2 linked regions of the Schizosaccharomyces pombe genome follow. The protein of the gene in region 1 interacts with the protein of each later gene in a pairwise test. Each region holds a gene or a part of one and is shown in the gene's direction. Other genes may lie near its edges. The genes, in order: zng1 and fma1.

Region 1 (4,314 bases):
TGCCGCTATCCCATTGTTGGTTGTTTACTACGTTGACTATGGAGTTACTTATGTGTCCGTTCCTAGCATTGTAAGACCATTTTTAAAGAGATCTCTTATCAACTTGGGTTTTCTTTATTACTTTTATATGGCTGCGGTTGCGATTTTTTGTCCAAACAGTATTAACATTATTGCTGGAGTAAATGGTGTTGAGGCAGGCCAATCGCTTGTTCTTGCTCTTGTTATTGCTTGCAATGATTTGTTTTATGTACTCTCTCCCAAAAATAAGGATGCATTAAGAGCTCATCTCCTTTCCCTTTATCTAGTCTTGCCTCTTATAGGTGTCACTGCTGGGCTTCTAAAATACAATTGGTGGCCTTCGCGAGTGTTTGTAGGTGATACGTTTTGCTATTTTGCAGGAATGGTAATGGCAGTTGTTGGAATTTTAGGTCATTTCTCTAAGACACTTATGCTCTTTTTTATCCCTCAAATTTTCAATTTTGCGCTTTCCGTTCCACAGCTTTTTGGATTGGTTGAATGTCCCCGTCATCGACTTCCTAAACTAAATGTGAAAACTGGATTGTTGGAAAACTCCTACACAGAATTCTCTCTAAACGAGCATCCTTTACCTAAAAAGACTTTGCTGACTATTTCTATTTTTGAAAAATTACGATTGATTCGGGTTGAGTACGATCCTAGCACCGGGCGCCCGCTCAGGTGTACGAACTTTACAATTATTAATTTTGTTTTGTATCATCTGGGCCCAATGAGGGAAGACCATTTAACAATATGTATAATGGGATTGCAATTACTTACCGGAATATTCGGTTTAATTATCAGGCATTTTGTCGCTCCTTTAGTGTATCCTGAAGATAACATATAATTCACATTCCACATGTTTTGGACCAAAAATGAGCATCTATGGAAGTCCGGTTTTTTCTATTTTTTTTTATTTTTCTAACTGAAAATTGGAAAATAGTTAATTATTATGACTTCTTCTTTCATTTCTTTTGTACGTTGTGTACAGACTGTACTGAATTTGTTTCCGATGTTTGTCCACATATTTGAATACCAAAAATTCATTCAGATGAGATTAGTTAAACACAACTTTCTTTAAGTCTTTGGTAACCTGTCATTTTACACTAATTTTATCTATAAAATAATAAAATAAAATACAAGAGTTTACAAGAACTTGCCAAAGTCATCTGAAAATAGCATTGATTAGACATTACGAAAATACTCAGTTAAGAAACTAATACATCGTGTTAACTATTCATGGCTTGAAAGCAACGAAATCATTTCCTATTATGAAATTTTGGAGATTTATATAATTACAAATCGCTGAACGATTTCACTAATCAGCAAAATTTAACGATTTAAATATCATTTTTGTTAAATAATTATACTGTACTTCTTTATTGCATGTAAGAATGTGACTACTTTCGTGACTGCTTCGTTCCGCGTCGTTACTATAAATATGGGTGCTTACACTTACGGTTCTTTACTTACCTGGCATGAGTTTCTGCAGCACAAGAATTGTGGAGACTCAGTTATTTGTCTTGGCATTGCACTGAGCCCTGACGAATAACTGTGGACTGGCTAAGGTCAGCTCCGGATGCATCATTTTTGAGTTCGTCCCTCATTTGGGGCAATTTTACTAATTAAGGCGATATGGTTGCCTTAAATAGTAAAGTTATCCGAAATGGATTATGTAAAGTAACATTTTCTTTCATCATATATAATTGTAAATTATTGTATCATAATTAATATTTCGCAATAATATGTTTAAAGATTCTATTGCCTATATGTAGTTTTAATAAATTACTTGCTATGTTTATTATTATTTTGCTCTGATGTCTTGCTTTTGCTATAAAGTCATTTCATGTAAAATTCGTTGTATAAGTAATTTATCACACTATTCATTCGTAGCTGCTGACAATTTTCGCTATAAAACCATGTCAGTGTTATACGAAATGACTGCATATAGTGCAAACACAGTGTTGTGCTAATTTCATACTAAAAAAATTCATTATTAACACTTTTCGAAAGTATTTACCTGTGAGACCTAAATTGAGGCTTTTAGAAGTATTTCTCAAAGTATTCAACTCGAAAAGATTAATTATATGACCATTATTTAAAAAAGGTGTAAGAATGGACTTTGAAATTGAAAACGAGTCGGAAATTCCACAGCTGGTTGACGTTGAAGAGGTTAACACACAACCGCATTCGGAAACATTAAGCGTACCTACGGTTTCGTCCAATAATGATATTGATTCATTTGAGCAGCAATCAGATTTTCTTCTAGTTGATCATGACTCTACCTTGGACCCAGTCCCTGTCACAATACTGACGGGCTTTTTGGGTGCCGGTAAAACTTCTTTGCTACGGTCAATTCTTGAAAATCGAAATGGTAAAAGGGTTGCTGTATTAATGAATGAGGTGGGTGATTCGGGAGACCTTGAAAGGAGCTTAATGGAGGATGTTGGAGGAGAAGAACTTTATGAAGAGTGGGTGGCTCTTTCAAATGGGTGCATGTGTTGCACTGTGAAAGACAATGGGATTAAAGCTTTGGAAAAAATTATGAGGCAAAAGGGGAGATTTGATAACATTGTAATTGAAACAACGGGTATAGCCAATCCTGGTCCTCTTGCTCAAACATTTTGGTTGGACGACGCGTTGAAAAGCGATGTCAAGTTAGATGGCATCGTTACTGTTATTGATTGTAAAAATATAGATAATATCTTAAAGGATGAAAGTGATATTGGTTTTATTCAAATTTCACATGCTGATTGTTTGATCTTAAACAAAACAGATCTTATTTCTTCTGAAGCATTATCTGTGGTACGTCAAACTATATTGAAGATCAATTGCTTAGCGAAGATTATTGAAACAACATATGGACGGTTGGATGACATTTCTGAAATTTTGGACTTGGATGCATACGGCAACGAAAATACTTCTAATCTTGAGTGGTCGATTCAAAGGAGCAATGATAGCAATATTAATTGTTCTACTTGTTTGGACGTGGATTGCCAACATTTGCATTCTCTCGATACGCATAGCCTTGATATCTCAACTCATACTTTTAAACTGCCCCCACTAATGTCGAAAGAGGTTTTTCAGCAATTTCTACAATGGGTTCGTCATACACTTTGGTCTTGTTTGGAGGAAGGGGAAGACGAGGAGTTTATGATTTATCGAAGTAAAGGAATTTTTAATAAAGACGATGGCTCTTGGTACATCTTTCAGGGTGTTCGCGAAGTATTCGAAATTATGCCGCTGTCGGAGAAGCCTCGAGCATTTTTAGAAAAGGATATCCATCCCGAAATTATCCTAATTGGGCGTAATCTACATCGAATATCTCCTTTCGTCGTCGGAAACCAATAATGGCAGTTATTTTATATTTCATTTTAATAATGTATATTGATATATGTTTGTTGAATTAATTTTAAATGTACGCAATAAAAAGCTTTTATACTAAATTATTTTATATAACACTCAATATTATAAATGTCATATCATTGACATAGATGTAACAAATCCAAGCAAAAAAGCCAAATTATAAACTTAATTTATACTGGCCTACTCGTTTATTCATTGTTTATAATACTCAGTTTAAGAACCGCATATAACGTTTTAACGCTATATCTGTAATTTCGACATTCGTCTTAAAGCTGTTGATATATACAGCTCTGCAACCGTTACAGACCCTAAATTATATCTAGAAGAGAATGGTGACAATTGTCCCATACAGTCACCAATATTTAAAAGATATATGTCAGCTTATTCAAAAAGATTTGAGTGAGCCATATAGTAAATATGTGTATCGTTATTTTGTGCACCAATGGTATGTTCCCATTTCATTGATTTCTCAAACTGCTTCTTGCATATTATGAAACTCGGCAATATCATTATAGTTTACTGACAGATTAAAGGCCAGAATTCAGTTTTGTTGCTTTAGATAATGATCGATTTATTGGAGCTGTAATATGCAAACAAGATGTTCATAGAGGGACGACGCTTAGAGGTTATATAGCAATGCTGGCCATAGTAAAAGAATACAGGGGACAAGGAATCGCTACTAAATTGACTCAAGCTAGTCTGGATGTAATGAAAAATAGAGGTGCCCAGGAAATTGTTTTGGAAACAGAGGTGGATAATGAGGCAGCCATGTCTTTTTATGAAAGACTCGGGTTTTGTCGCTATAAACGTCTTTATCGTTATTATTTGAACGGCACTGATGCATTTCGATACATCTTGTACCCGAATTGAAAAACAATGCTACAAAATAAAATCGCGGCATTTTCTATGCTCTAAGAAAATTTGTTTCCACTT
Region 2 (4,046 bases), 340 kb from region 1:
TCAATTAGCCCACCATTGGTGAACGAGACGTCTACAATTTCATCCTCAAAGAAGCTAGAGCAAAACTATTCTGTAACGGAAGTTATTGATACTAATATTATTACTAGTTCTTCGGTTACTCTACCAATTTCTGAGGATGGTTCCTCTACTTCAGCAGCAGCTACAATTGATTCAAATATAGATGAAAAGACTGTTGCATTCTCAGAAGAAAAAAGATTCAACTTTGCTTCAACTGACTGCGCTGCTGCTGTCATTAAAACAAATCCTGAAGCAGTCGGATCTTCTTCGATTCTGACCGAAAACAAAGACAAATATATGCTGAACAAATGTTCCGCTGAAAACAAGTTCGTGGTAATTGAACTTTGTGAGGATATTTATGTCGATACAGTTCAAATTGCCAACTTCGAATTTTTTTCAAGTATATTTCGTGATTTCAAGGTCAGTGTAAGCGGTAAATATCCAAAATACGAGTCTTCTTGGATGGAATTGGGTACATTTACGGCCTTAAACCTAAGGACTCTTCAATCTTTTCATATTGAGAACCCTCTTATTTGGGCGAAGTATCTTAAAATAGAGTTTTTAACTCATTATGGGTCAGAATTTTATTGTCCTGTAAGCCTACTTAGGGTTTATGGAAAAACTATGATAGAAGAATTTGAAGAAGCAAATGAAGACTTCTTAGAACAAAAAGTGAACGACGGAAGCGCTATTAAAGCAGATGAAATCCGGAAGCCTCAAGAAAGTCCTATTTTTGTGGACGAAGAAGATACCGATGTTCAAAGCAAACCAGTGAGAAAGAATCCATCAGTCGAGTTGAATAGTACAGACACCTTACTTTCTTCTACTGTGATATCTAAGTCTTTGAGCACTGTTGTTATAGGAAATGAAACAGGAAAAAGTGAATCATATCCTGCAACATCAACTCGCTCTTTTAACGATATTTCTCCATCTTCTTCATCTTCTTACAGTACCGCTCAAATATCTACCTTTCCTTCTAATCAGGAAAGCATTTACAAAAACATAAATAAGCGTCTTTCTACCTTAGAAGAACGGAAGAAGGCATTTGATGAAATTGTAGAAAAAATATTAACAAATTATGGTAAGCACAATGCCAAAAACATGAATTTTACGCAGCTATTACATGAATTGAACTCGACCCTTCAATTAGAAATTTCGAAATTGTCGAAAAGTGTCGTTAAGCCGTCTTTGTTTGCTCTCCAAGCTAAACTTGAGCTTCTTTCTGCAGAAAATGAATACTTTCAGAGTCAAATTACTTCACTATATCAAGAATCATCTTTTCAAAAGCGACTTTTAATGCTTCAACTCACGGTTCTAATCGTTTTAACAGTGTATATGGCCGTATCGAGGCTTCCAGAAAATCTGCCAACAACCCGTTCATCTTCAAACAACCCTATTGAGGCTTCAAGACCACCTTTTTCACGTGACGAGCAAGATATTTCGAAGGCCAACGATTTTCGCGTTAGCGCTTCCTCAGCGGTTTATACCGTTGGACCTGAACTACTGCAAAGAAAAAAGCGAGATCCAAATACCAGCATACGCAGTATACACGAAAGAGAACAAGATAAAATTATACATTCTAGGAGCCATTCAGTATGCTAATCATAGAATGTATTGTGAAACTTCCATATTTTTTCATAAGTTAATGATTTAAATTCATATTAAAATTAGAAAAATGAATTATTTATTTAAAAACTGAAAAGCATATATTAAAGTTATTTTTTTAGTTTTGCAAAAATCATAACTTTAAAGAGTGGCATTGGGTTATATAGGTTCCAACGACATTAATGTACTTCACGGCTACGAAGCACTAGTGTGACTAGAAATTCTCGAGTCTAGAAACTAAGGCGAGTGATACCCTTAAGACAAAGTATTTATATGGCTACTGAAATTGCAAAACATATTTGTTGCGGTATAGATTGTAATAATGAAGCTGACAGACTGCAATGTCCCAAATGTCTAAATGACGGAGTTAAATCTTACTTTTGTGGACAGGTAATTTAGTTTTTCTGTTAGTTTACGTATTTACTAATTCAAAAAAAAAAAGGAATGCTTCAGGAACAGCTGGGTAATACAAGAAAATTTCGTGTAACGTAAATTAACACTAGGTAATCCAGAATATTCACAAACATCTTCATCGTCCACCGAATGTAGAAAAGAGAGGTACGTACAACAAAAGTATATAGCTTTTATTTTCAAGCGTTTTTCTAATTTGTTCATCAGAGGATGGAACTTACAATCCTTTCCCAAAATTTCATTTCGCAGGTTCATTGAAACCAGTTTATCCGCTTTCGCCTATACGCAAGGTTCCTCCACATATAAAAAGACCTGACTATGCGAAGACAGGAGTCTCTCGTAGCGAGCAAATTGAAGGTCGAAGCTTCAAACTGAAGAGATTGACACCCAAGGAGCAGGAAGGTATGCGTAAAGTATGTAGACTTGGTAGAGAGGTACTTGATGCTGCCGCTGCTGCCGTCCGTCCTGGAACAACTACCGATGAACTTGATAGTATTGTTCATAATGCATGCATTGAACGTGATTGTTTTCCAAGCACCCTTAACTATTACGCGTTCCCAAAAAGTGTTTGTACTTCTGTGAACGAAATCATCTGTCACGGAATTCCAGATCAAAGGCCACTTGAGGATGGTGATATTGTAAACATTGATGTTTCCCTTTACCATAACGGTTTTCATGGTGACCTAAATGAGACTTACTATGTTGGAGATAAAGCAAAAGCAAATCCTGACCTCGTTTGCCTTGTAGAAAATACGAGAATTGCTTTGGATAAAGCAATTGCTGCGGTAAAACCGGGAGTATTGTTTCAGGAATTCGGAAATATTATTGAAAAGCATACAAATAGCATTACTGAGAAGCAGATTTCTGTCGTCCGCACATATTGTGGACATGGAATCAACCAGTTATTTCACTGTTCTCCTAGTATTCCTCATTATTCCCACAACAAGGCACCTGGAATTGCTCGCCCAGGAATGACTTTTACAATCGAACCTATGCTTACTCTAGGTCCCGCCCGAGACATTACCTGGCCGGATGATTGGACTAGTTCAACTGCATCTGGACGCTGTTCTGCTCAATTCGAACATACACTGTTAGTTACAGAGACTGGTTGTGAAGTTTTAACAGCCAGACTCCCCAATTCACCTGGAGGGCCCTTAAAATAAATTTTGATATACCCAACATGAATTAAAATAAAAGCAGAAAATTTTTCTTTGTATATGAAATTTATAAGTAAAAGGCTGAAAGAATTATATATGAGATTTCCTTCCTTTAACCAGAATAATGACACTTGTACAAACACATTGACTATATTACATACTTGCTGAAAAATGTGAGGTGCATACCCAAATCAAAAGCCTTCGTAGTCGACTATGAACCAATTTCCAACAATCACTAACCTTTATTACGTAAATCCAATAATGACTATTTACCTCTGTCGTTCATTAAGTCTTCAAAATAATTAGCGTCACTCTTTTCGTTTGGCGCGACTTTCAGAAATACCTGACCTATCATAAGCAAGGCATTAGCGCGATTTATCCTTTTCTCAAGAGGAACAGCTTTATCATAAAGAATCTTGTCGCTCACAGTTCTTATCACACTTTGAACTTCAAAACGCGTTCCTTTCCATGTTGCAGATAAAACTTTACCAGTTAGTTCACGGGCAGCTTCATCTCTTTTTTCTTTGGACCATTGCTCTTCACCTTCTTCTGCTTTTGCTAACGCAGCTGCAGAGGACTGAACATCTACAGCACTAACAACCGTATTCCAAGTGTCTTTCAATAAAGTTCCTTTTGCACAAAGACTTCCCCATACACCTCTGATACCCAAAAAAGATTGGGATTGGATAAGTATGTTCGCACGTTGCACATATGTGGAACCAATCGCATGAAGCATTTCATTCCCAAATGACTCATCTTTTAGTAATTCTGCTTCAAATTGCATTTTCTGTTTGAAAGCATCAGTCACTCTATCAGACATATCGGTTTCAGTCCATATAGAAAGTTTATCCAAAA

What was found.
Region 2: the proteins of zng1 (region 1) and fma1 interact in a two-hybrid assay, tested with the Schizosaccharomyces pombe proteins (one large-scale study listed by BioGRID).

Annotation. Positions count from the first base shown.
Region 1 is NC_003423.3:3,018,723-3,023,036, forward strand, and holds zng1 (nucleotide-binding domain-containing protein CobW/HypB/UreG), read left to right. Parts: upstream 1-1,958; 5' UTR 1,959-2,130; coding exon 2,131-3,366; 3' UTR 3,367-3,515; downstream 3,516-4,314. Other genes in the region: gpt2 (UDP-N-acetylglucosamine--dolichyl-phosphate N-acetylglucosaminephosphotransferase), read left to right, coding at 1-862; NatC N-acetyltransferase complex catalytic subunit Naa30, read left to right, coding at 3,711-3,826, 3,915-4,251. UniProt on the Schizosaccharomyces pombe protein: Zinc chaperone that directly transfers zinc cofactor to target metalloproteins, thereby activating them.
Region 2 is NC_003423.3:2,676,977-2,681,022, forward strand, and holds fma1 (methionine aminopeptidase Fma1), read left to right. Parts: upstream 1-1,814; 5' UTR 1,815-1,896; coding exon 1,897-2,013; intron 2,014-2,065; coding exon 2,066-2,086; intron 2,087-2,135; coding exon 2,136-2,181; intron 2,182-2,241; coding exon 2,242-3,197; 3' UTR 3,198-3,307; downstream 3,308-4,046. Other genes in the region: SPOM_SPBC3E7.09 (Sad1-UNC-like protein), read left to right, coding at 1-1,620; SPOM_SPBC3E7.11C (DNAJ domain-containing protein type Caj1/Djp1), read right to left, coding at 3,457-4,046. UniProt on the Schizosaccharomyces pombe protein: Cotranslationally removes the N-terminal methionine from nascent proteins. The N-terminal methionine is often cleaved when the second residue in the primary sequence is small and uncharged (Met-Ala-, Cys, Gly, Pro, Ser, Thr, or Val).